Linked DNA regions of Rattus norvegicus. The protein of the gene in region 1 interacts with the protein of each later gene in a pairwise test. Links are inferred from orthologs where the notes say so. Each region holds a gene or a part of one and is shown in the gene's direction. Other genes may lie near its edges.

Region 1 (4,721 bases):
TGTCACTGACATGAGTAGATTCCCAGGCCCCATACATGTGGTGGACCTGTTATAAGTTGAAAGTGACTTTTTCAGATGTTTTTGGCTGCTGTTGGTTTAAATGAAAAACTCATGGTTCTGGAAGCCTGTGATTATCCCCAGAAAATGTGGGTGTGCATCCAACTAGATGGTTTTGTTCATGGGGTCCTTTTAAGAGAGGTTTAGACATTGTGGTTACTTGGTTGGCACTCTGAAAATTAATGAAGTGAGTCACTTCAGTGTTGAGGCTGAGGGATTGCTGTTGGGTCTGTTCCTGCAATCTTCAGTAAGGTGGGGGGGTTGGTTTGGTTTGGTTTTTCAGAGGTCTCTGTAGCTCTGATTGTCCTGACACTTGGCTCTAGCTACACTCACCTGGAGCTCACGAACTGGCTCCTCTGCTTCTCCAGTGCTAGATTAAAGATGTGTGGCCACAGCCCTGCTCAGCGTGGTTTCTAGGAATACAGAAATTACTGATAAAAAGTAGGTTGCTAATTCCCACTAACATTTATCAATACTGCCTAAAGGAGTTTCTGTCATAACTTTAGGTTTTTACATTGCACCCTCCACACACTCAAGTTGATTCTGTGGCTTTGCTGGGCCAGTGCAAGGTCACTGAGACACGTTTCTAGCCCTTTGGGTAGTGTGTTATTGTTGGGGGGGGGTTGTTTTTAGAGGCAGGGTCTCTCCATGAGTAGTACAATCTATGCTTGAACTCAGAATGCTTCTGTGTTGCCTTTAAGTGATGAGATTACAAAGGTGCCCACGCCAGCTGCCAATCATGTACTTTATGAGGGGTGGTCACTCAGTTAACTGTATCTTTATGACCTGTCTACATTCATAGAGTAGGCAGCAGGATTCAAGTGTATTCACTTATGTCCCCCATCATTAGATAATAGATACTCAAATCTTTTCAGAGAATAAAAACCAGAATCTAAGTACTCTTGGAAGAATTGGCTCATCTGGGGTTCAGCCCAGATGAGCAGGAACATCACCTTGATTTCAAAGCAGAGGTATCCAAGGGAGTGGGTATGGTAAGAGACTGGTTTGTTTTTAAATTCACTCAGTTCTACCTTTTTCTCTCCAATGCAGTTACATCATCTACTTGAAATTAGCTATAAAAGGTTGGTTTTATTTGGTGTGTGACAATTCCAGTAAGCTTTAAGTTGTTAATAGTTTTAAGCAAAGCTACAGGATGAAATTTTACCATTTGTGATGATCTGTAGATAAGACCAATTGCTATGCTGAAATTAACAAGTGTTTTTTTTTCATCTGGCCTTTCCCTGCCTTGAGTTGCTTATTGATTTACTACACTTTTGAGACAGCATTGGTTTGCAGTCGAGCTTGGTCCTCATCCACCACAGTCCTCCTGCACCAGCACTCTAGAATGCTGTGCTGTTAGAAAAACTAAGGTTTTGTTTTGAAATCTTTTACAACTGAGTCTATAGTGTTTGCTTAAGAAAAATACTTTACTTTGATTTGTAAGTATTGTCTTAATATTTCTGTTTCTTTTCTTCTGAAGTCTCTTTTGGAAAAGTTCTTGATCCCCAATGCTTCGCAGCCAGAAAGCAAAGTCTTCTATTTGAAAATGAAGGGTGACTACTACCGCTACTTGGCTGAGGTTGCTGCTGGTGATGACAAGAAAGGTGAGCTGGTTTTGCTTGGTTGAGCTTATATACATCTTCTTTTCTGTTATGTTACTTAGAGAACTGAGCACTCTTTCTTTTTGTCTTGTGTTTTTGCCTGTTAGTATTTTGAACTTGAAGCTTTCTGAAAAGCTGTTTGTATAAGAATGTCTCCTCGATGTTAACAGAGGTTAACCTCAGAGTAGAATGAGGAAATCACAAGATGGTGATCAGATGGATGTGTGTATGAGTGTTTGCCTGCATGTGTTTGGGCACATGTGTCCGATACTGTTGTAGGTCAGAGCAGCGCGATTGGATCCCCCGGAATTGCAGTTACAGACTGTTGTAAGCTGTCCCTAGGGTGCTGGGAATCAAACCAGACTGGGAAAAGTAGCCAGTGTTCTTTGCCTCAGAGTTATCATTTCAACTCAGCTCCACTCTGAGTTGCTTTTCTCTTGACAACAGCGAGTGACTAGTGTGATCCAGGACAGCATTGTTTGTTTTAAAGAGTATAATTTGGATAAGACTGTCAGAGCGTATATTTCAGAGGACACATGCAATCTTAAATGAAAAGTTTGGCTTAAGCTGCAGCATAGAATTTGAAAGTCCATTTCACTGTGTTGCATTATCTAGGAATTGTGGACCAGTCACAGCAAGCATACCAAGAAGCATTTGAAATCAGCAAAAAGGAGATGCAGCCGACACACCCCATCAGACTGGGTCTGGCCCTCAACTTCTCTGTGTTCTACTATGAGATCCTGAACTCCCCAGAGAAAGCCTGCTCTCTTGCAAAAACAGTATGTATTTTACCTGTTACTTGGGAATTGGGCAGTGTTCATTATTTGAATTCTAAGGTGTACTTTGTTTTGCATTTGTAGGCTTTTGATGAAGCCATTGCTGAACTTGATACATTAAGTGAAGAGTCGTACAAAGACAGCACGCTAATAATGCAGTTACTGAGAGACAACTTGACAGTGAGTACCTAAGACAGTCTGAAGGGTGTGGCCAGATAACTGAATATAGCGTCCTATCTACTGTTTACAAGCTTACCAAGAAGAAAACTACCTTATTGAGAACATTGCCAGTACTTATGAGAGATAGATACCTTTTGGGCTTAACTTATCCTAAGTTACTCCTTTCTGTTTCAAGTCTTGAGTAGTTTCATTTTTTTCACCCCAGAGTCAGTCATGTGCTTACTCAGCAGAAGTATCCAGGTTTCTTGTGGTGGAGGAAGAATCATGAGTTAGTTACAGGCTAGCCTGGACTACTTAGTGACAAGCTTGCCTAGGCTACATGACAAGATTCTATCTCCAAAAAACAAAAACCCAACAACAAAAAAAGTAAACTTGCTACTATTGGTGTCTAACTTGTCTTTGAAGTTGGTTTTCTTGTCCTTTAGTGTTGTGCATGTTTGGTGGGAACAAGTGCACCCCTTGCTTGCCTGGTCTCTAGCCCAGGGAAAGGTGGGGTTGATGCTCTGCTGTGCTGAAGGTTTGAACATGAACCCCATATATACCATTGTCTTAACCAAACTAAAACAACAGTTCTTGAAAATTCATTTAAATGGTTATTTATTATTTAAATAGGATCCCAATAAAGCCATGCTTATGGTTGGCTTCTTGGGTTTTTCCTTCTTCAGATGAGTAGTAATTTGAAGTTTTGAGGCTTGGGTGAAAAAGTTACCCAGCATTTGCTGTGTTTCGGGGAAAAGGTAGAAATGAGTGTCTCTGGTCTATGGGCTACTTTTCTGTGTGTGTTCAATTTGTCTAAGAGACTTGTCCATTCTTTATGTGTTTTACTTCCTGTTAAAGTCTGTAGCTAAAATTATTTTACTAACTCTAACTGGGGTTGTCTACAAACTTAAGAGACTTAAAAATAAGCAAGGGTTAATATGGAATTGACTTGCTGTGCATGCTGGAGGTGGGATTTGGGCCTTCTATACACTAGGTGAATACCACTGAGCTGCATCCTGCCCAAAGGAAAGAAAAGACGTCAAATATGAAGCACTTGATTCGTTAGCTAATTTCTAATTGTAAGAATATATGGGGGGGGGTGAGTGTAGCTGTTGGAAAAGTGCTTACCTGCGGTGTGTAAGACCTTGATTATGGTCCTCAGTAAGCTAAAAATTTATTTTACTTGCTGAGCATGGTGACACACAGCTGTTATTTTAGTTGGTGGGAAGCTTAGGCAGGAGAAATACAAATTCTAGGCAAAGCAAGAAGAAAACTAGCACTAAGTCTTACATGTTGTCTAGGCTTGCGTTGAAGTGATGAGGTGGTATTTAAAGTAGACCTTAGGCCTAGGTGTGTCACTACTTTTAGGGGCTCCTGATTGAATGCTCCTCTCATCCATTGGAATTATGGGGTGAGTGCAGGAAAGAGTGTCCTAAGCAGAGTGAGAAGGTCAAGGAGCAGCTCTGCCCTGAGCCTTGTTAGACTGCTGTTGACAGCGTGACACCCAGCTGACACAGCCAGTGCCTCACAAGAGACTATCCTGATTGTAGTGTGTAAGGTTTATACACAAAATGTAAAACCATTAAAGGACAAGGAGGGAACAGACAGGAGACTGTTGTCCTATTCGTAAGCACACAGTCTGGAAGAAGATACCTGGCCAGCTATGTGTGACTTTGAGTCTGTTCTAGGCCAAGTGTGGAAGGTGATTTGGGGAGAATATATTAGGTTAGAGGGTAGATTCCTTTTTTCTCCTTTTTAAGTTTGGCTTAAAATATTTTACCTGGAAACAGTTGGGACTATTTAGAACTGTATTAGCTTATTGAAACACTATAACAGTAATGAGAAGTTAATAATGAAAACCATAATCCTGCCATCCTACGACACCTTTCTTCTTTTTGGTAGAATATTTGCTTCTGTCCATAACATTTGTTAGGTTTGTTTTGGGTCTGGGACATTGTCAGGAGAGGCCAGCTCACCCAGCTCCAAGAGTGAGATCTTTCTGGAAAACACTCTAAAAACCATTGGCATTAGAGCTTTGGTTTTACATATTTGAGAGTCAGAAGTGAGAGGACTGGCTGGCTCTGCATTAGGCTCTACGGTGGGTTTGGGGCTGAGGCTGGGCAAGCCA
Region 2 (5,322 bases), on another chromosome or scaffold:
GACAGACAGATGATAGAGATAAACATTTTAAACATTTTAAGTCGAGTACTACCTGGAAAAAGTATTGATTAATAGTAGTTTGTATTCCTAGATGTCAGTGTCATTTGATGAATGTGCTCTGAAAGAAGACATTGCAAGTCAATGGTGTGTGGATCCAGAGTGTTATTCTCCTTCAGGCAGGATGTATATTTATTGTTCTATATGTAGAACATGCACTTTCCAACCAATTTTATAATTTAGTGATAGGGAGATAAAACATTATCTTCTAACAGGCTGTTTATTCATTATAGATAGATTCTGTGTTTTGGTTATAGTTAAGAGAAATGGTCAAAGAAGATACCATAATTTTTTTCCATTAGAATAATGAGAAATCAGCTCCATGTTAGTGTTTTCTTACATTTCTTAGTAGACTAAAGAATTGAACTTGGATTGCCATGCTGCCTCAGCTAGGTACATGTAACTGAGTTTCATGCCTGGGACTCACAGTATAGAAGGAGAAAATGAACTCATTCAGTTATCCATTCAACTCCATAGCTTCATCACCCCTAATAAGTAAATAGAGCATTTTTTGAAACAAAGAATTGAAGATCATAAAATAAGTAAGTGTCAATACTCTAGAACAGTCCATAGATCAGTTTTGTAGTATATACAGTTCAGTGCTTTGTGGTTTATGTTTTGGAAGCCATTCTATTAATGAGGACTTGAATTTTATATTGTCTCTTACTGTTGAATAGGTACCTTTAATAAATGTACCAATCATAGTAAAGATATTTATGTGTTAGACATATTATCAATGTATGGGATATATTGTCAATGTAAATAAAAAAATTAAACTACCTTCAATGTTTAATTTAATAATTCTAGTGTGCTACTCTTTGATGAAAGAGATTAAGTTTGGCTTCAGCATTATTATTTGATAAATATATTAATTTGTAAGACTTTAGTATATAAAATGTCATCTTTTCCCAATTAGATAAAATATCTTTTGTTTTGTTAACGAAATGGTAAAGCCTTTGTTGAAAGTAATTTCCCTAAGCTAGGAGATTTATGGTCCAAATCTGTTCCTGGGAGAAAAATAGATATGAATTTTGGTGCTTGTGGTCTTTACTCTCTTAGCTTCTTCCTTTTATTTGTTTTTGAATGACTGTAATAATTTCTAGTTGCTCTGTTAAGAGTTATTAGAACCCAAATAATGGTCATAGGTAGTAGTAGCTGTAGTAGCAGTTTTAACTTCAGTAGAGTTTACTTGAGTAGTAATATCTTTTTCTCAGCTTCAGAATGAAAACTCTGGAAGAAATGAAGAATACATAACATGAGTCAGTTTGATTTTACGATATACAAAAGTATAGAAAGAGTTGATTGCAAATGAAGGGGTTGAGGAAACCTTGTAAAACCTTGCCTCCTTAGTTTTTTGAGAACAATGTAAAGGAAAATGATTTTAGGTTATTAGCATAGTAGCTTTTCGGTAAGGTTGTAATAAAGTACAGTGATGAAATGATAAATATATATATTTGTTCATATCTACAATAAATGTTACATACCAGTACATGTCTCGGTTACAAGGCAAGTCTTAAATTACCAATGCATAATTAATAATTATATGTTGAATGAGTGCCAAAGAAAGGGTGAGGTTGTTGGGATTACTTAAATAAAAAAGGAGCTGGTGATTTTAGGGTGTTAATAAGTAAATTACATTTTTTTAAAAATTCTAAATCAAATTCAGAATGTTTAGATATTTTATTTGTTCAGTAAAAATTATAACAAAATAAACATGTATATTATAATAATAAATGTTCTTTTTCTTTCCATTTTCTAGAGGTGGACTACCTAACTGAAGAGAAAGTATATGAAATTTATGAATTTTGTAGGGAGAGAGAGGATTACTCCCCTTTAATTCGTGTAATTGGAAGAATATTTTCTAGTGCTGAGGCACTGGTTCAGAGCTTTCGGAAAGTCAAACAGCACACTAAGGAGGAATTGAAATCTCTTCAAGAGAAGGATGAAGACAAGGATGAAGATGAAAAGGAAAAAGCTGCGTGTTCTGCTGCTGCTATGGAAGAAGACTCAGAAGCATCTTCTTCAAGGATGGGTGATAGCTCACAGGGAGACAACAATGTACAAAAATTAGGTCCTGATGATGTGACTGTGGATATTGATGCTATAAGAAGGGTCTACAGCAGTTTGCTCTCTGATGAAAAAATAGAAACTGCCTTCCTGAATGCACTTGTATATCTGTCACCTAACGTGGAATGTGATTTGACATATCATAATGTGTACACTCGAGACCCTAATTATCTCAATTTGTTCATTATTGTAATGGAAAATAGGAATCTCCACAGTCCTGAATATCTGGAAATGGCATTGCCGTTATTTTGCAAAGCTATGAGTAAGCTACCCCTTGCAGCTCAAGGAAAACTGATTAGGCTGTGGTCTAAATACAGTGCTGACCAGATTCGGAGAATGATGGAAACATTTCAGCAACTTATTACCTACAAAGTCATAAGCAATGAATTTAATAGCCGAAATCTAGTGAATGATGATGATGCCATTGTTGCTGCTTCAAAGTGTTTGAAAATGGTTTACTATGCAAATGTAGTGGGAGGGGACGTGGACACAAATCATAATGAGGAAGATGATGAAGAGCCTATACCTGAGTCCAGTGAATTGACACTTCAGGAGCTTCTGGGAGAGGAAAGAAGAAATAAGAAAGGTCCTCGAGTGGATCCACTAGAAACCGAAATTGGCGTTAAAACTCTAGATTGTCGAAAACCACTTATCTCCTTTGAAGAATTCATTAATGAACCACTGAATGATGTTCTAGAAATGGACAAAGATTATACTTTTTTCAAAGTTGAAACAGAGAACAAATTCTCTTTTATGACATGTCCCTTTATATTGAATGCTGTCACAAAGAATCTGGGATTGTATTATGACAATAGAATTCGCATGTACAGTGAAAGAAGAATCACTGTTCTTTACAGCCTAGTTCAAGGACAGCAGTTGAATCCATATTTGAGACTTAAAGTCAGACGTGACCATATTATAGATGATGCACTTGTCCGGGTAAGTTTGACTATTATTTAAAATTGGACTTAAACTAAAAGCTGCAGAGTGTTATATTTCAGTGAATTCTTTAACTTTGAATAAAAAAGATAGAATCATGTTAACATTTCTGATTTATATTACTCCAACTTTGTTGCTACTTACCAAAAATATTGGTATCTTGGTTGTCTAATGATAATTTTCTTTTGAACAAGAATAAATTTTCTAGGGTTGGGGAGATGACTCACTGGATAAACATTTTGTTGTGCAAACATGAGGGCTTACGCTTGGATTTCTTGAACACATGTAAAACAGGATATGATAGTTCCATTTGTAATACTACTTTCTAAAGCAAGATAGAAAGTAGAGACAGAAGAATCCTCAGAAGCTAACCTCATATGTAAACTGAAAAATAACCAGACCCTGTCTCGGTAGAAAGCAAACACTAATACTTGACGTTCTCTGACCTCCACACAAATATTTCCCCCTTTTGGCCTTTACACACACACATATGCATACACATGCATACACATGTGCATACTGACAGGCACAAAACAAACAAAAGGAATGGATTTTCTAAATCTTGAAAGCCAGCCTTACACGTTTCCATTAAGAAGAAAAGATTTGTTTTCAAAGATTGGAACACATGACAAATGGTATTGTTATACCCAATGTTAAGAATGGAAGTAGGTGTAATTGGAAGAAATAATACAATAAATCTGTATTGTAAAAGAATTAAAAACTGCTCATCAAATTCCTTTATGTAGAATACAACTCAGAGTTGTATTGTGAACTTGATGATATGACCAGGAAAGGTTAGTCTATGTTAACTAGTAAGTCTTTGGAGTTCTAAGCCACCCAGTATCTTGTTTGACACTGTAGGATTTTTTTTTAAATAATAATAATAATTATGTGAATTTTAAAACTAATGTAAAATAGCTATTTTTGTGACTTGGAATTAATATTAATAGTGTTAGTTAAATCTATATGATTTAACTGGGAAGTCAGGAACTTCTAACTGCCTGTTTCCCCCCTCCCTCCCCCACCAAATGATATTGCCTCTTGTCTGTTCCTTCTTTCCACAGATGACAAGAATTGCAGAGTCCGTATCAGTTAAACCAGAAAATTGGTTTGGAAATTGCCAGTCATATGTTAACAAAATTATATTTAAGGAATTCAGGGTATTCCTTGGTATTAATTATTCTTGTTAGTGCTAGTTCTTTTTGTTTAACTTGATGTAAGATTTAGTACCAGTTACAAATGAAGCATCATCCTTATATTCTAACAAATTATAACCCATTAATGAATAACTAACATACTAGTTATTTGAACATTTATCTTTGGGGTGGATTTGTCTAAATATGAAAAGCCATAAGATTGGACTAAATCCACATTTAATAGAAAAATTATGCACCTGTCCTTCCTGATTTTTTTTCATTATTTTCTTCTTATATTCTTATATTCTTTTTTTTTTCTGTAATAAAGGTATTGGATTAAGAGCCAGTAAAAGCTTAGATAGTATTAATAAATTTTTTAAATTATCATAATTAGCCCCTTATTTTCCTAATGAATTGTTGGAGTAAAATTAACAGTTAAGCCTTGTAATTATGCTAACAAACTGTTGCTAGTAAATACCATTTAATTATGTCAACTGGTCATATGGTTTGACACATTATAAATTGTGATTCCTTTGATAATATCCATACTTGACTAGTACCAGTTTAAACAAGCCCTGGCTGGCCTTCAGCAATTCTGTGTGTCTGTCTCATTGATAAGCAGTAGAGTTACAAGGAGATGGAATTTATCACAAAAATTCTTAAGAGTTTTCACCGAGCTCTTCTCCTTTCCCCTATCTTGCTTTCTTCTCCCTTTCTCTTTCTCTTTTTTCTCTTTCTGAATCATTTTAAACTGACCCCTCTCAAATGTTTTCCTTTTGTAGTATTCTAGTATGAAAGGGTTAGAAATATAAGCATAGACTCAGGCCTTAGAGATCAAATTGATGACCCCCAGCAAAGGGTAATTATTTTAGTCATACTAGATTAATACAGAAAGTTGGAGGTTTACAGCAAGCTATATTTGAGAAAATGCCCACAGGTGAACTGATGGAATTCTACTGTCTCCATGTCTTATTCTACATAAACCCCTGTTGTTTTTAAGCCTTGTTCTTTCTTTCATAAAATAGCTTGACAGAATATTTCTGTTCATCACTGTCTCTTTTACCGGATCATTTTGAACTGTATAGGAAGCTGTGTAGAGAAAAAGGAATGAGAAGTTTTGCAG
Region 3 (4,515 bases), on another chromosome or scaffold:
AAGCAGGGAAGCAATAGGCAGAGATATGTGACAGCCCTTCAGACCTCTGACCAGCTTTGTGCTAAAGCCTAAGGGTCTCTGAAATTGCAGAATGGAGATGGCCCTTCTCCAGAGCCCTCTGCCCCCTGTGCTGTCCATCTCTGTGCATGTGAGTATACTTCAGACACATCAGAAGAAGCCATCAGACCCCATTACAGATGGTTGTGAGCCACCATGTGGTTGCTGGGAATTGAACTCAGGACCTCTGGAAGAGCAGTCGGTGCTCTTAACCGCTGAGCCATCTCTCCAGCCCCACTTTTTTTTTCTTGAAAAAGTCTCTTGATGTCTGCTCTGCTCAATAGTGAGTCTCAGCACTGCCTCAAGGTCCGAGTCCCACCTGTCTCTGACCTCCCCTCGAAGAAGCGTTGCTGCTGACTTTTCAGGCTTCTTCCTCTTCGCCTTCAAAGCCCTTCTTCCCTCCCTCAGCTGCTGCTGTGGCTACAGCAGCTCAGGGCTGAGGTTCCATGAAGTATGGCTATGTTATATACCAACAGTCTCGGGCAAGTTTGTGTCTTGCATTTGTGTGAGGCTTCTGAATGTTTCAGACTTGTTGGCATAAAGCAACAGTTGTCGTGTAGAGTGATGAGGGAGAGAATGGGCCGAATGCATCAAACAATTCATTAGAAGGTTGGGCTCAAACATACTTGTACTGCTGACCTGGGATCTGGTGGAGGTGTTTTGGTTTTTTAAACAAACACTTTAAATGTCCATCATGTAAGAAAGTCAGTCTACATTTGTGATCAGAAGCCATAAGCGTAGCCGTCGCCCTCAGGATTGGGGGTTATTGGTTTGTTGGTTTCTTTCAGTGTTAGTAGAATTCAGGTTAGAGCCCCTATTATCAGCCATTCTCTTTAGGACGCTTCAAGGTTGTTTTCTGTTGCTCTTGAATCAACCTTGAGGCTTTCCATTCCACCTTACAGTAAAATTGCACGTTGGCTCCTTTCTCCTAAGGGCTCTGCTTTGTCCCTTCTCTTCAGAACCTTGGGCCTCTTGTCTGCGCTGTATTTGGGTGTCCCCTCCCCCAGTGTGACAAGAAAGTCGAGTTGTGGGGATTCTGCCTTCAGTGACTTGGGACTCTTCAGTCACTTCCCTGACTTGCTGTGCGTGGCTATCCCTCGCTAAACTCTGGTGCCTTGGGAGGTGGGAATTGGACATGAGCCTAATGTGGTTTTGACCCCTGGGTTTGGGACTTGAGACCTTGAAGACCCCAAGCTTCAAAATAGGTAATGGGGCTTGTCACTTTTTTTCTCTCAGTTGCCACCAAGCTCAACCTTCAGATACCTCTGTCTTTAGCAGTTGTCACTTTAGTTAGGAGCAGTGTGTCTATCCCATTCTAAGTCAGAGGCTGTTGGGCTCTGAAGAGCACTGCAAGGCCAGGACTACTCACTGTTCTTCTAAGAATCATGGTCTCGCTTAACATGTGTTCACCTTTGCCAAGTTGATGGAATCTTCCTGTGTGTCTTCACTATTTTCACAGTGGCACCTATCACTCTAGAGATGAGAGCACAGACAGTGGCCTCAGCATGAGCAGCTACAGCATCCCTCGGACCCCAGACGACTTCCTGAACAGCGTGGATGAAATGGACACAGGCAAGTACTGATTCACTTTCAGCGTGGGTGGTCATTAGCTGTGTTCCTCCTTCCTTCTTAGTTCCGATTCCACTGGAGCTAGCACAGGCTAGCCTGGATTCAGGCACAGGCTGACACACTGGTTTTTCTTTTCTTTTTGAGATGACTCATGGCCCTCCTGCCCAGCTTCCTCAGTGGCCGGCCAGCTTTTGAGCCTGTTCTGTTTTAACGTGTTAGTTGGGCCTATTAGAAGTTTCTTGTTTTAGATCTGTGTTGTTAATTTTGAGTAATTTTTTTGTGACCCACTGTTTTTCTCTTTCCTCTGAATACTTTGGGTTCAGCTGCGTTGTTAACAGTGTTACGGGGCTGGGAAGCCATATTTGCGGGGAGGGGGCCTAGAGTAAGACTTACTGACTTTATAGTTGAAATAGTTGCACGAGTATTGAGGAGCTAAGACCTCTGCCTTGGGGCTGGAGAGAGCACAGGACAGTGATACATTTTCTCCAAAGTGTGGAAGTCTTCGGAGCTTGACTTTATCTGACACATGAAGGTGAGAACTTGTGCCCTGCTTTCTCTGAGTTCACCTAGGTCAGAAATCTTCTTTAGGAGCCTCTTGGGCCTACTTCATGTCTAGCCCCATCCTGGCCCCTCCCACCCACTCTCATGGCTCACCTCTCTGGCCCCCTTGTACCAGAAAGGCCGATTGTTTTTCTGAATGTAAGTTCTGGCAAAGCTCCAAGGAGGAGTGCTAACATAGATAAAAGTTCTCTAGGCAGGTAAGTGATTTAGAAAGAAGTCTGGGGGGCGAGAGGGCCACTTGCCTTCAAGGACTCCTGGGAATGTTCTTCCTCTATGGCGTGTGTGACTCAGAGTACTGTCTACAGTGCTGAATGTTAGTGTCCCAGAGTACAACGAGAGACAGAAGACGCTCCATCTTAATATGTAAATGACCTAGAAATGGTGGTGCATTCCTAGGAGAAAGAGAGAAGGCATGGTTGTCATTTCTCACTGCTGCATATAGAATTCCAAGGGAGTGAGTGTCAGTTCTTCACAACCCATCAGGTAGCCCTTCGTAGTGCGCAGCCAGGCCATGATCTGTACTGCATGACTGAAGGGCTGAGGCACGTGAAACTTGGCACTGTTACCAAGTGGTCTCTGTGTGTGGTTTTCTAAGGTAGACAGACGCTGGGTGTTTCTGTTTCCCATGGCTGTGCTCACAGGGGCAGCTCTGAAGCTTCTTACAAAACATTTTGTTCCCTCCCCAAAACTAGGAGACACCATCAGCCAGAGCACCCTGCCGTCCCAGCAGAGCCGCTTCCCTGATTACCTGGAGGCCCTCCCTGGGACAAATGTGGACCTTGGCACACTGGAAGGAGATGCAATGAACATAGAAGGGGAGGAGCTGATGCCCAGCCTTCAGGAAGCGCTGAGTTCCGAAATCCTGGATGTGGAGTCTGTGTTGGCTGCCACCAAGTTAGATAAAGAAAGCTTTCTCACGTGGTTATAGAGCTGTCCGGAGCCACTCTCCGGGTCTGTGAAGGATCCACAGAGCCTAAGGTGTGCACTCCTGCATTCAGATAAGCCAGTGGGTGATTCTCTGGCTAACACAGAACAGGTGACCAGTGTCCAGCGGGGATCATCCACTGTTGCTCTGCTCTTCTCTGCCATTGCTGCTCTTAGGTTGCTGACCTCTTCACGGCCACCCCTAAAGAACCAGAACCACAAATAGCCAGAGCCCTTTGTTTCCTTTGCTCTGGCAGCTGTGCTCTCTGGGTTGTGGGGAGCCTGTCGATAACAGATGCCCGGCCTCCTCCACTGGTCTTCACCCATCCTCAACTGAACCCCAGGCTGGGTCTGAAATGCTTTATGCGTCTGTTCAAGACACGGTTTCTTCAGCTGCCTTTGGCCCTTGGGTCCAACAAGCCAGACGCGTGGCATCTGATCTCACGGAAGACCGGAAGATGGCAAAGACCCATGCCGAAGACTGATGGACTTCCTGTTTCTTTTTTTAGTCATACCATTAGGCACATAGTGACCTGGATTTTATCTTAGAAGCTCATGAGGCATGGGACAGTTTCCATAGAAATACATTAATTATGCCACATACTCTAGGTTAGGTTTGAATGGATATTTTCTGTGGGTGTTTTGGTTGGTTTTTCTGTTTTCTTTTCTGTGGTTGGTTTTGGTGGAACGTAGGCAACTTAATGAAGTCATTCATAGCTGTAGCTTGGGGTGGGCAGTACCATTCTTTTGGGGGAAATCTATATTTCTCGACTTTTTAACATCCTATTTAAATCTTGGCTGTCTCCTCTCTACGTATGTACACACTCTTCTGATGTCTGTGGTAGTGTGTAGCAGAGTGTGTCTTGATAAGTGTTTCCTTCGCTCCTAGTTTACTGTTGAAATGGTAGCCTTGAGCATATGCATTTAGACATCTTAGTTATGTTTCACGGATAGTTGAAATTCTGGTTGGGGCAATCTGCAGGTGTTTGAGGAGGGTGGGAGGGAGGGAGGGAAGGAGGGCAGTGTTATAGAAAGGGCTCTGGTTGTGGGTAAAGCCAGGAAGAGCTCTCCAGCCCTCTGCACTGCGGCAGTGAGGATAGAAGCCACCAGTGGCCTCACTCCCTTGGACTGATTCCGTTGTGCAGTCTCAGAGCTTTGAGCTTTGGAGAGGCAGGCCTTCCTTCCGCCTCGGCCTCGGCTGTCCACTCAGATACTTTTGAGTATTGACTGTCACCTACAAGATCAGTCTTAGGAAACCTCACGTGCCTGTGTTCAGTGGACCCTGGGGTAGGGCGAAGAATGCTGTGAGGCCTTGGCTGGCCAGTAAAGTGAACAGACAGTAAGTGTGCGGGGGTGGCTGAACTTAGCAAAGGGCTAGAGCGAAGCATGATTATGGCTTTATTT
Region 4 (5,322 bases), on another chromosome or scaffold:
CTCATCAGCTCCCCTGTAAGTAATGCATTGGATGCCTTCATATCTGCCTGGGGCCTTTCATGGTAACAAGCGATATCATTGGTAGGAAGTACAAAGAAGCAAAAACTTCTCACAGTTTTGCACATCAGAAACTAAAAAGTCAACTGCTGTCGTAGACATTTTGGTTATTAATCCTATTCATTTTATTTTTCTACAGTCATGATGAAATTAACTAAATATTGGCTACTGTTTGCTTTGACCTTGTTAAAGCTGAGAGGAAGTTTTAAAGGAAACATTACATTGAAAGGTGTAGAGCATTTCACATTACGCACTAAAGGCTGACACTAACTTTAAAAGCACATAAGAAATATGTGAATATTCTGGTTCTCCTTAATGGCACCCAGTCACATTTACTTTTAAGATGTTCCTGATTGACAGCTTTGAAATTTAATAGCACTATATACACTATATACAGACTCCCTCATTACAAGTCTACCTGGTTCCAGAAATTTAATTGATTCTTTATAGATTTTTTTTTAATTTTTAAGCATGCAGATAGAAGTAGTTTTGCATTGCCAGAAAATACAAGCATCCTCCAAAAGTTGCTGGCCTAGTTATTGCCTGGCTGTCCAGTGGGATCAGTAGTGGCTATTTAACAAGCCAACCATGACAATGTAGATAACCTGTCTGCTCCATAACTGTGTCCTTTCCCTCTAACGGCTGTGCTCTCTGTTTGTCTGTCTGTCTGTTTATTACTTGTAGCCAATCACCTACATGAACCTGATGCTCAAGTTGAAAACTGGTATGTATCTGTTTGAGTCTACTCCTTTCTAAAAGTGAAAAAGGATCATAGAAAACCAAGTTTTAAAGTATCGAATTATATTTATAGCAACAATATCTTGGCCAAAGAGAGAAGACTTCAGTTTCATCAGAAAGGGAGAAGTATGAATTCCACTGGGTCTGGGAAAAGCAGTGGTACTGTGTCAAGGTTAGTACTGGTGAAACTGTGACCATATGGTATTGATGATCCTTTCACCTTCTTGTTTTTTATTTGATGCAGAGTGTGAATCAAAAGTCCCCAAGTGTTTCCTAGATCATCAAAACTGACAGGAGCTTCTTATGTCAAAACCAACCGCACCTGTAACTCACCAAGTAGAAGGCAGTAACTGTGTTCATAACAGGACTAGAGTCTTGGAGTAAACTCCATAGTGGAGTAACTGCTACTCATAAGGAACCAGAACTCACTGGAGAGTGGCTTAAGGAACTCTGATGTAGAAAGCGGCAAAAACTTCCACAATTAGTAGTTTAATACTTAAGGCTAGATTTGTTTTCCATGTGTTAAACCAGTCCTCCTCACCTTACTCCTCCTCCTTCCTTCGTGGATGTGGGGAGAGAAGAGCTGGAGGGAAGCTCCCCACTGGCTTTCTGACCCCAGCTTGTCTCCTTCATTGCTCCTGCTAAGATAGTTGCCTCGTATAGGAAAAAAAATAGTGTCTGCAAAGCTTAGGTTTCTCGGCTGGCCCCTCAGTACCTGAGCTGTACCAGCTTCCTGAGATGTTTTTCTTAATCCGTTCTTTCTTTATCATGCCTGGTCTGGATGGCTTTTCTGGAGAATCCTTAAAAAGATAAGGTGAGCAGTCCCTTAGAGGGTCTGCTTCGTTCTTAGGGGTTAGGCCCTCGGGCTTCTGTTTCTGATTTTCCAACACTGGTTTCCTGAGAAAATGTGCCTACGTATCCTTTGTAAGGATTGTGTATCCCATGAGTGCATAGTATCAGGAGATACGGAAAGACATTGTACTGTAAAGCCCAGGAGCCAAGGGAGTGGAAGTGGGGCTGTGGACTGATTGACATGCACACTGAGCGTCTCTATATCTTCTTCATTTGTTGTAGTGTTTCAGAACTGCTGGAGCTTTACGAGGAAGATCCTGAAGAAATTCTATATAATCTTGGATTTGGACGAGATGAACCAGATATTGCTTCTAAAATTCCTTCCAGATTTTTTAATTCGTCATCCTTTGCCAGAGGCATAGACATTAAAGTGTTTTTGAGTGCGCAAATGCAGCGGATGGAAGTGGAGAACCCAAATTACGCTCTGACAAGTAAGGGTCTGACGCTCATGCATTGTTTGAGAGTTTACAACTGGCCAGATGATCCTTGTTTTTGTATCTGACATTTTAACAACAAGGTCAATAATAGGCTAGGTCTTTTACTCATTCTGAATTAATTATTCTAGCTATAGACACTATTCTTTCCTCCTCATCACCAACTCTTCGTAATTTATGTGCAAAACCTGTTGTTTATCTCCAAATTGCATTTGTTCAAGAAAGAAAGAAGTAGGGGAGGGGCTTTGCTAATTTTAAATGAAATCAGTTCATTTCAAGTGCTTTCTGTAAATCTAAAATAACTTGGCCAATTGGATCTTTTTACTCCTGTCTCTGCTTGTTTTTCTGTTAAATAGTGCCTCAAAGCGAGACTCCTCCCAGGTTGTCTATGGATCAACCTTATGTGTGCTTTAAGTCTACTATCCAGCTATACCCCGATGTGTGTTTTCCTAGGAAGGCATTTCCAAGAGTCTTAATGGAGTCCATGACCAAACAGTAAATAATTCATAACTAGTGATCAATAGCTGGTTCTGCTATGTTCAGTACCATCATCAGTTTTTTTCTAATTTTCTAAGGTATTCTAATCTTTACAGTAAAAATCCTCTTCCTCCCTACCCTCTGATTGTTGTGGTTTACATGTTTGCTTAGGAAAAAAAATATGATTTTATAATATTCGGGATCTAAATTCAATTACTAGAGTTCTAAACAGCACGTGTTTACTGTATGTACCTATAACTTAAGCACAGGGTTTGCTTACTCTATGTATATGTAACATACAACATGTATGTATAACATATTCATCTCATTTCTTTTTTCTTTTCATAGGCCGTTTTCGTCAAATTGAAGTCCTCACTACTGTGGCCAATGCATTTTCTTCTCTGTATTCCCAAGTCTCTGGAACCCCATTGCAGAGGATTGGAAGTATGTCCTCAGTGACCTCCACCAAGGAGGCGGCAGACTGCCCTCCTCCCCTGACTCGAAGCAACACTGCAAACCGTCTGATGAAAACACTCTCAAAACTAAACTTGTGTGTTGATAAAACAGAGAAAGCAGAAGGGAGCTCTACCCCCGCTGCTGAGAAAGGAAGGAGTCTAAGTGTTTCACTGTCTGAAGATGGTGGAGGCGGCAAGAGTGACCCAAAGCCTCAGAAGGTTATAAAGAAGAAGGAGTCCTCTTCAATGCTGGCTACGGTTACAGAAGAAGTCTCAGGCAGTTCCTCGACCATCACAGACAGCATTGATGCTGACAGGCTTTCTGATGAAGCAGAGAGTAACATTAGCCACAAGGTGGAAAGTGAAGAAAATGGAGAAGCTCACAGTCAGAATGACGCGCTCCGGCAGTCTGCTGTTACAGATCCTGACTTTGGCCATGACGGGGGCAGCATGTCCAGCCTCTGTGAGCTGGAGAGCAGCAGTGAGCTGAAGAGTGCCCAGGCGTCCTCGAGTGAGAAAGAGCCATGTGCAACCCTGACAATCCCATCCATAAGAAACATAATGGTGCAGCAGAAAGACTCCTTTGAGATGGAAGAGGTAGGCAAAAGATTTCCTGAGCTTATTTTGTAAGTCGAGAGCCAGGAAGGAGGAATGGCTCCAGAAGTGTTTATAGAAAGGGAGGTGACTAACGTTCATAACTGTGGAAACATCCTCCTGTTGACACTCCTGCCTCTGCTTCCAGCTAGAGTTGGTCGCAGAACTGTGCTGTGGAACCCCTCAGGCTCAGCTGCCATCTATCCAATGACATTGTATCTGCAACCATTTTTTCCCCCAAGCTTAAGGCTTTGATAGCAGAGAGCCTTGAGAGTGTATGCAAATTCAAATCATGATTGCCCAGCAGTGGAAGTGCTAAGATCAAGCAGGTTTGCAGTCCAGTCTTCAGGAGCCCCAGTGACCTGGGCGAGGGTGAAGGCAACTTATAATAGATAGATACTAGTGATGTGTGCACCCGAGGGGAAGCGGGGCTTCTGGAAGGCTGCTGAGTGGGGTTTTATAAGTCCAGATAGGCATTTGGTGACTTTATTTTACCCATTGATACTCCTGCTAATTTCCATAAAATCTAAATTCAAGAATGTAAAACTACCTGGGAGGTTCCTTCAGAACTCCTAGGCGAGCATAGGAGCACGTTGATAGACAAGATTCAGCTGTGTGCACCAGGACACTGCACTGTGGGAGGCCTTAGGAGCAATGCGCAAAAATGCTGTCCAGTGTTACACAGGAAGAACTGAGGTATCTGGATTGTGGCTATGCATAATGTAATGTGTAATTTTTCCTATTGAAAATATGGAAGTTGCTTTGGTAACAGTTTGTGTTAGCTCTAGAATCCCGTTTTCTCGGGTTGAAGAGTAAATCATGGTTCCTCAATGTTCTCTTCACTGAGTTTGGGTCAGTCATGCTAGTGATGACTTTTTAACTTATTTCAGTTTGCTGATACGTTATTTATGCTTTTGGTGGCTTCTGGATTTTTTATATGTTAATTATGGCTACAGAGAAAAGTATGGGGGAATAGAAGAAGCTCTCTAGAATACTGTATATTTTCTTGTAGGCTGCTTTTCCCTAAATCTTTTTCCTGTGGTTTATATTTCCAGTCTTTGAATTACTAAAGTGATTTCTGCCTTAGTACAGCGAGTGTGAGAGAGGATTATGATGTGTGCTTGAAAACCCTGGCTCTGTCCTATTGATTTCTGTTGAGTGTTGTTTTGGCCCAGCTAGTCTTAAGGACTGCATGTAAGTTCAGACCTTTCCTGGGCCCCTCCTCTGTGCTCAGTAGATGGAGTAGCGTCCATACTTTAGCCCTGCACCATGGTATACAAATCTATACAGTAGCTGGAAGTTTCATGCTGGTGACTCAGTTTGGACAGCAGTAGGTTGACAGCGTCCTCTCTGTAATTTGTAGGATTTTAAAAGAGCTCAAAAAGTCTAAGGAGAAGTGTAAGTGTCAGGTCTCTGAAAGGGTTCAGATAACATACCTGGAAGGGCCTTAAGGCTTGTCAAATGGTGGGCGCAGTTTGGTGGTACTTACCTTTCTTCATAGACCTTTTCACTTGCGCCCTCTGCTGGAAAAAACGTTAATGACAAAATAACGTGAACCCTTTTGTGAAGTGAAGATTACAGGAATAGTTAAGGAATGTTAGGTACTGTGTGTGCACACAGACAGGCACGCGCGTGTGTTGTCACTAGGAATGGTGTTGTATGTTTGTAGTAACTAGCATCCAGAGGACTGAAGCACAATGACCATGAGTTTGAGA

What was found. The genes of interacting proteins can lie anywhere in the genome.
Region 2: the proteins of Ywhaz (region 1) and Ube3a interact in a two-hybrid assay, tested with the Homo sapiens proteins (2 studies listed by BioGRID and IntAct, with this or other methods). The link is inferred for Rattus norvegicus from reciprocal best matches to the Homo sapiens genes YWHAZ and UBE3A.
Region 3: the proteins of Ywhaz (region 1) and Yap1 interact in binary tests that used the Homo sapiens proteins (3 or more experiments, as listed by UniProt). The link is inferred for Rattus norvegicus from reciprocal best matches to the Homo sapiens genes YWHAZ and YAP1.
Region 4: the proteins of Ywhaz (region 1) and Itprid2 interact in a two-hybrid assay, tested with the Homo sapiens proteins (2 studies listed by BioGRID and IntAct). The link is inferred for Rattus norvegicus from reciprocal best matches to the Homo sapiens genes YWHAZ and ITPRID2.

The regions. Positions count from the first base shown.
Region 1 is NC_086025.1:69,827,738-69,832,458, reverse strand, and holds part of Ywhaz (14-3-3 protein zeta/delta), read left to right. Parts: intron 1-1,537; coding exon 1,538-1,661; intron 1,662-2,273; coding exon 2,274-2,437; intron 2,438-2,518; coding exon 2,519-2,614; intron 2,615-4,721.
Region 2 is NC_086019.1:119,260,892-119,266,213, forward strand, and holds part of Ube3a (ubiquitin-protein ligase E3A), read left to right. Parts: intron 1-1,095; exon of another isoform or gene 1,096-1,287; intron 1,288-1,816; coding exon 1,817-3,063; intron 3,064-5,322. UniProt on the Homo sapiens protein: E3 ubiquitin-protein ligase which accepts ubiquitin from an E2 ubiquitin-conjugating enzyme in the form of a thioester and transfers it to its substrates.
Region 3 is NC_086026.1:13,381,679-13,386,193, reverse strand, and holds part of Yap1 (transcriptional coactivator YAP1 2), read left to right. Parts: intron 1-1,516; coding exon 1,517-1,629; intron 1,630-2,879; coding exon 2,880-3,115; 3' UTR 3,116-4,515. UniProt on the Homo sapiens protein: Transcriptional regulator with dual roles as a coactivator and corepressor. Critical downstream regulatory target in the Hippo signaling pathway, crucial for organ size control and tumor suppression by restricting proliferation and promoting apoptosis.
Region 4 is NC_086021.1:84,949,376-84,954,697, forward strand, and holds part of Itprid2 (protein ITPRID2), read left to right. Parts: intron 1-741; coding exon 742-781; intron 782-868; coding exon 869-967; intron 968-1,869; coding exon 1,870-2,078; intron 2,079-2,906; coding exon 2,907-3,610; intron 3,611-5,322.